2 linked regions of the Kluyveromyces lactis genome follow. The main gene of each other region encodes a partner of the protein of the gene in region 2 in a complex. Links are inferred from orthologs where the notes say so. Each region holds a gene or a part of one and is shown on either strand. Other genes may lie near its edges.

What was found. Proteins that work in one complex are often made in the same cells at the same time.
Region 1: the proteins of SGF73 (region 2) and UBP8 are in contact, whole or in part, in a crystal structure (PDB 3MHH), measured with the Saccharomyces cerevisiae proteins. The link is inferred for Kluyveromyces lactis from reciprocal best matches to the Saccharomyces cerevisiae genes SGF73 and UBP8. Residues at the interface, in NP_011449.1 of Saccharomyces cerevisiae: Gly24, Ser25, Gly26, Pro27, Ser28, Asp30, Ser31, Trp32, Lys33, Leu35, Met36, Ser38, Ala39, Lys40, Thr42, Pro43, Leu44, Gln45, Asp47, His48, Met49, Asn50, Ser53, Leu54, Lys55, Lys56, Tyr57, Phe58, Asn59, Asn61; in NP_013950.1 of Saccharomyces cerevisiae: Thr23, Ala26, Ala27, Tyr29, Ile30, Asn32, His33, Ser34, Val35, Pro36, Glu38, Lys39, Asn42, Thr43, Gly47, Thr48, His50, Met59, Cys60, Leu61, Gln62, Cys63, Gly64, Phe65, Cys66, Asp107, Asn110, Asp111, Leu114, Tyr117.

Annotation. Positions count from the first base shown.
Region 1 is NC_006039.1:603,184-607,150, forward strand, and holds UBP8 (ubiquitin-specific protease UBP8), read right to left. Parts: upstream 2,502-3,967; coding exon 1,161-2,501; downstream 1-1,160. Other genes in the region: PLP2 (Plp2p), read left to right, coding at 142-999; KLLA0_C06996g (alpha/beta hydrolase), read left to right, coding at 3,247-3,903. UniProt on the Saccharomyces cerevisiae protein: Histone deubiquitinating enzyme component of the transcription coactivator SAGA complex. SAGA acts as a general cofactor required for essentially all RNA polymerase II transcription.
Region 2 is NC_006038.1:214,243-217,527, forward strand, and holds SGF73 (deubiquitination module subunit SGF73), read right to left. Parts: upstream 1,977-3,285; coding exon 501-1,976; downstream 1-500. Other genes in the region: ALG2 (GDP-Man:Man(1)GlcNAc(2)-PP-dolichol alpha-1,3-mannosyltransferase), read left to right, coding at 1-384; PGC1 (phosphatidylglycerol phospholipase), read right to left, coding at 2,552-3,285. UniProt on the Saccharomyces cerevisiae protein: Component of the transcription coactivator SAGA complex. SAGA acts as a general cofactor required for essentially all RNA polymerase II transcription. At the promoters, SAGA is required for transcription pre-initiation complex (PIC) recruitment.

The DNA of each region.
Region 1 (3,967 bases), on a different chromosome or scaffold from region 2:
GTGTCTATTTTTTTTTTTTAAGTTTTAAATTTATAATAGCATGAAGGCATCAGTATTTCATACTAAACTGAGCCAACCGGTGAGAATAAACCTACACATAAGATTACTTGACAGCTTCTGCAGCACCACAATCTAACCATAATGCAAAATGAGCCTATGTTTCAAGTGCAAGTCGATGAGACAGAAGATACCGAGTGGAACGATATCTTAAGAGCTCACGGTGTAATTCCAGAAAGACCACCATCACCAACTGCGCAGCTAGAAGAAGCGTTAGAAGAAGCATTGGCAAAGCAACATGAAAATAGACTAGACGGCAAGGATCTATCAGATTTGGAGGATTTGGAAGATGAAGAAGATGAGGAATTTCTACAATTTTATAAACAGAAACGTCTCAATGAGATCAAGAAATTACAGGAAAAGGCAAAATTTGGTTCAGTATATCCAATCAGCAAACCTGATTACAACAGAGAGATCACAGAATGCAGTAAAGGCACTAAAAAATCACAATATGTTGATGATGGTTCTTCAGAGTTTGAAGGAGGGGTTTATGTGTTTGTTCATTTAACTTGTCAAGCCAAACTTGAAAGTAGGTTATTATCTAGTATCTTTGAGAAAGCAGCAGCCAAATTCCCCCAAATCAAATTCGTGGAAATTCCTGGTAATAGAGCAATAGAGAATTATCCAGATAACAACTGTCCGACTTTGATTGTTTATTACAAAGGTGATGTCGTAAAACATTTGGTTACACTACTCGAACTTGGTGGAAAAGATACTAAATTGGAAGATTTTGAAAGACTTATGGTTGATATTGGTGCAGTAGACGAGAAAGATGGTAGATTGCTAATGAACCACGAAGATGATTATACTAAACAAGAAAAGAAACAGAGATACGGTCATAACAGTATAAGATCAGGTATCAAAGGCAAATTTAATGTTGGTGTTGGTAGAAATGGCCGCAACGGTGCAGATGATGATGATGATGATGATTTCTTCGATTAGATAGAATACTATATATATATGGGTCTGTATATTGAAAAAAAAGATATAAAGGCAATAATAACACGTCGATTGGTGTGATGTTATTTGGGTTTCTTTTCTGACATATATATACGGAAGCCACCTAGTAAACCAATTTAGGAGTTTTTCTTCTTTTAACATATTCAACGAATAATGTAGAAAAGTAGATATGCTTGTTGTTCCAATACTTGCTCTTCCGTTACTGAAGTGACAACAGAATCATTGAATTTAAACCATTGTCCATCTTCAGTTTTACTCACCGTGGTATAATGACCTTGATCAACCGTCCCCTGATGGGAGACTACATTTAGTAGATCATATGCAATATTAGGAATATATTCATCTTCAATCTGGAATAAATGGGGTTTTAGATTTAAATGCAATGGAAACTGTACTCTATCATTTAATTTTGCGCTTTGACCGTTGAGTTGATGTTCGAATCTTTTCAACTGTATAACTAATACGTTAGGAGCCTTATGCAACGTTAACTGTTTCACCACACCCTGGTTCTGTTTACAGCTTTGGCATTCGTAGTGAAAATCGGTTAATGTTTCCTCTCTTTGGAAGTGATCTAAGCAATCTTCTAATTTAGGGTTATTTTTGATCTCTAAGGAAAGGTCCATGATTGGATCTATTGTGGTCTTTGAGAATCCACACTGAGAACACTGTAAAGTGTTTTTAAGATATCCTTGGAAGATTCGATGCGTGATACATTGACAATCAGGGGCCTTTGACGATCCGAATACTCGTGCATGATCCGTATGCAGTTGGTTCAATAAGAACTGCCAGTACTCATGTGCATCCTGTTGTGACGAGCCAACAAGATGATGATTGATATGCCATGATGCAGATAAAAGGTTTACAAAGCCTTTGCTAACGGAGGAAGACTTCCCTGTCCCAGGTCCATTCCCGTAAAAGTCACAAGCAATTTCATCCAATGCACAAGAGACGCACTTGGTTCCTGATTTAATGTCACAATTGTTGCAATGCTTATGAGATAACAGGTCCTCGACAAAGTATGGATTATGTATGATGGTTTGAATGATACTACTCATGAAACAGGTGGATCCCATGTTCACCAAACCTTGTAATCCATCTCTGTGTAAGCTAGCTGGTAGCTCGGTCTTTTCCATTACAGTATCCCATTGGCTAGCCGGAATTTCAGCGACCAGATCAGCCATGAAATCACCACATCTGAAACAGAACACTAGACCATTTGATGAATTAACCCCAAAGATGTGTCCCAATTTTTGAGAATGATCCAAGAAATGGTTGTTATTCCAGCACCCGCAAAATCCGCATTGCAAGCAAATGAAAGTCGATCCACAGCTAATTTCACCACAATCCATACATCTCATGGTTCTCATAGTTCTATTCTTGAAGTCTGCGTGGCGAAGCAGATATCGTACCGTTTCGCATTCTTTCAACACTGCGTCACCAAGCTTTTGGTTAGAAACCACTTGATTCATATGCGGACAAACCATAACTAATAAAAAAAATTTTGGCCAAGCACACGCACGAGCACTGAGAAATTTCAGAAAAATATCTAGCTGAAGTTCCCTGCTCGAGCTAGAGGATGACTAAGGCACAAAGACTTTGCTCCGTTTCCCCAAAAATTGTAACTGAATCTGATTACTAGATCATCATCTGTTAGAGTGCGAATTTCATATAATGAAAAGTTAAACAGAAAAAACTTGATCCAGAATCAAGCAAAAAAATGAAAAAGCGAAAAATAAAAGGAAGAAATGATACATAAGTAAACGGTAGATAGTATATACTTGTGGGAGCTCAGTGTGGTCATATACAGACTACTATCAGCCGGGGTGTTTGTAACCATACAGGCAAATGAGTGGAGGTGTCTACAGGATCTCTTATATATTATTAGTTTTATTTTTTATGAGTATCAAAATTAGCATGTATCCCGTAGTCATCCTTATGTAGTCATTTTGTACTCTTTCTCTCGAGAGGTACCTGGAAAAACCAGCTGCGTACGAAGATTTCTAGGAGATAATCCGATTCGCAGAGAAAGAGAGAGAGGGAGAGGGAGCTCATCGCAAGGAAAATTTAAAAAAAAAAAAAGTTCATCAACGTTTTCCAATTCTGTTCCAGTATTCTGAAGGGGAGTAGTATATGGGTAGGTATTTATGTCCGGTTTCTATTATTAGTGGATTTGGATTTAACACCGCTTCAGGCTGTGAGGTAGATAAACAGTTCTAGGGTTTTTAAAAAATGTCTAAGAAAGTATTGATGTTGCATGGGCTTGCCCAGTCTGGTCCTTATTTTGAATCGAAAACGAAAGGTTTTCGTCGGGTCTTAGAACCACTTGGATATGAGTTCTTCTACCCTACAGCACCAATTAATTTATCACCAGCAGATCTTCCTAGCGATGTTGCAGATATCGGCGCTGCTTCTGGGGATGACTATCACGCGTGGCTTCAACCGGATCCGTTGCATGGGGAGTACAGATTGCCCGACGTGACTTTGAAATTCTTGAAAGAGTACGTTGTCGAAAATGGACCATTTGATGGTATCTGTGGGTTTAGTCAAGGTGCAGGTGTCACTGGATATTTGATGACGGATTTCAATAACCTTTTAGGCCTCACGGAGGAACAACAGCCTGCTATTAAATTTTTCATTGCATTCTCCGGATTTAGGTTCAGACCTGAGATTTATCAAGAGCAGTACATCCAACATCCTATCACTGTAAGGTCATTGCATGTTCAAGGTCAGTTAGATACCGTTACGGAATCATCCCAGGTGAAAGGATTGTATACCTCATGTAAAGAAGGAACGAGTACGTTTTTAGAACATTCTGGTGGTCATTTTGTGCCTAATTCGAAGGGTTTTGTATTGAAGATCGCTGACTGGTTACAAAACTCTGAATAGAAAAATAGTTTCCACCAGCTTCATTTGCATGATAAAATGATGATAGATTCTAACGTCTCCATTG
Region 2 (3,285 bases):
GCAACTGGTTGGTTACGACCATCCGATGCTGATGAATGGTCAAAAGTGTTGGATCAATCCGTAGACATATTTGAAAAGAATCACTCCTTATTCGAAGTTAACGGTCCTAAACGTATTAAGTACTATTTCTCCAGAGAAGCGATGTCCAAAAACTTTGATAATACCATCGACCATATTATTTGGAAGTCAAGAGGAACGCGTTTATGGAGCACATTAGCTCCAGGGCTACTGATGTTCACTGTCCAATATGCTACACTGTTGATAACAGGCGATGCTTCTTGGCCATATTTATTGCTAGCTGCGATTTCTTATTTTGTATTAAGAAGTGTAAAGGCCACTGTGTACTGGATCATCGTTTTCTGTTACCTAAACTATTCAACTTAAAAGCGAAGCCAATCTTAATTTATTATAACGACTTGTGCAAAATATATACACATACCCCTCAAAGTTAAGAGATGAAAAACAGACGTTAACAAGCTATTAAGTTTCTAAATATTACACTAATTAACTCTTCCTCCATATCCATTTACACCAAATTGAACACCAGGTTGATTTGAATTGCTTCGACTTTGAGTATTAACCGGTGAGCCTATTGTTTGCTGCATCAACTTAGAAGCCGTATCTAGTTGAGCACTGGCGTCTTCCATTCTTTTCTTCTGCAGGAGTTTCTGTTGCTGTTGTTGCATTATTAGCTGTTGAGTTTGAATATCCCGAGGGGTGATGCCCTGGGTCATCATGGGTTGTTGCCCTGCAGGTTTTCCAGCCTGAACTGACTGTGGAATTTGCATTTGCATTTGAGATAACGATCCGGTAGCACTAGATTGTCGTTGCCGCTGTTGTTGTTGCTGTTGTTGCTGCTGCTGCTGCTGTTGTTGTTTCAAACGTTGGGCCTGTAATATTTGAAGCTGTTCTGGTGTCAAGTTTTGAGGTGATGCGTTAATAGGTTGAGGCGTACGTATACGGAACGTATAATCAGTCGTTCTATCAATGTCAATAAGACCGACCCTTGAGCGGAACGCACCAACTCCAGGGCTCTTAAAGCCTGGTTTTATACTGAAAGCAGACCCAAACATTTCTCTCATTCTGACGTACTTGGTTCTTGATCGTGTAGAAGTCAATACCGTAGTTTCTAACGGTAGTGGGTATGAACGTGAAACACCGTTCAAAACCAGAGTAGTCTCTTCTTCAGGGGACAATTTGGGTAATGACTCATTGACCACTTCATTGCTGCTGGTTTTCCCAGTGTTTTTATCTTTCCCCTTTTGTTTAACTTGTGGATCCTGCTGATTTTGCTGTGCCTTTTGGATTCTAGTCTTGGACGCCGAAGATTTCAACTGGTTGCGTTTCTGATAATCAGCTAATAATATGTCAAATGGCTGTGACCGTCCCTCCACTGCACGTTTCGCTCCCATTGAGTGCGATTTACATGTTAATGATCTACCGCAAACACCACCTTCAGGTAATGGTACACCACACTGTTTATCGAAGTTAACCAGATGTGGCTCTGTCGGGTTTCGCTGTTTTATCTTCCTTTGTTTTCTAGTCGATCCAGAAGGAGTGGATGATTTCTGTTTCTTTGAAGGTGAATCGAAATTCTCAGGATCTATCGACGAGGATCTCTTATTACTCCCCTTACTTTTAGCAGGAGAAGACATGATATCCTGCGTCTCATTCTTTTTCACAGGCATTTTATCAATACAGTGATTCTCTAAATGATCTATAATAGCTGACACCAATACCGGCTGGTGGCAAGCTGTACAATTCCTATAACGGATATCCTCTTTAGAAACGCCAGATAAAACTTCTGACGGCCTGCTCAAGTATTTTGAACGAATATCCGTGGATGATAAATCCGAACTATTCCCGTTATTCTTAACAATAGACAGTAACTCCTTCCAACCGTTCTTGCTACTTCCTAAATCTTCTAATTGAATGTCTGATCTGATTCCTTTAATCTCTATATTGACACTTGACATGCTCTTGTACCAAAATCAGCCAGGTAAAAAAAAAATGATAGGGAGAATTACGATGGAAATGATGAATGAATTGAGACAAGCTAACAATGATCAAACTGTCCTTACCTAGCTTTCAAAAATAAACCAGAGTCTATCGGTGGTAATGCAAATTGGTGCCTAACTATGGTAAAAATAGCACGTTAAAAAAAAAGAATCTGGTATGAAGTGAGCCCTCAATATTGATTGTACAAAAGTAACTTTTGTGGCAGGTAAATAACACGTTAGAACTATCTCAAAAGCCTTTTAAAATCTTTGGATCACCCGCTCTAAATACTTTCAAGCATCTGAATTCATGTATTATCTTATGAAATGTTTCTGTCCATCGGTATGTTATTCCTGTCGAAATCGTCGACTTTCAGAAAGGGAAACTTGAAAGTTCTTACAATCACGTGATATGACTTAATGGAATGTGTCAATCCCCCACACACCAATTGGTCCGTCGATAATCGAATTGCAAGCTAAATATAACATATTTCAGGATATTAACTTCCTATGGTATGTGTGTTATATAGATTGTCTACGAAATGAAATGACATTTAAATGAAGTGGATTCTTCTTAACAATAAAACGGTTACTTTCAACAAGGTGATATCATGGAATACTGGGACAGTGGCCCATCTTGAGCTAAGGATCCTTTCAGCCACTTCGAATACCCGAAGTCTAAGGTATAGTCTAAAACCTTCAGAGCTATTGAAAATTGGCGGTACAAACGGCACTGCTTTCCGAATGTACTCATCTCGAATTGACACTGAAGCTACCGGATCATCAACGATAATCCCGGTAATGGTCATACTACTGATATATTTGATGTCAATTTCGGAATTGACGGTCCAAAGGTATACGGCAAGGTTGTTTTCTTGCAAGTATGGTAATACAGTTTTCTTGAAATCGGGTTTCCAAGAGTTAATGAAATGAAGACTGACACCATGCAACTTGTAGTTGTCATCGCTCAAGGATTTAGAGTATTCGACAAATTTAGTAGCCATCGCTGTGAAGGGTAAGATGGCCACGATCTTGAAACCCTTCAGTGTGGCCGTGGTGACCCCGTATTTGTACCAATCAAGTTGCCACAATCCGAACATCAAACGTTGCCTCCAGAAATCTAAATCATCGACTACTGCTCTCATTTCAAGAATCGCCTTGATTAAAAGAACCTTATCATTTGTAGGCTTGATATCCAACATAAATTTCATTGTAGGGTGTTCTTTTAACCATTGTAAGGCGTCCTTGAATGTCGTTATCCTGATTTCTGGATTTATCTTACTCTTCA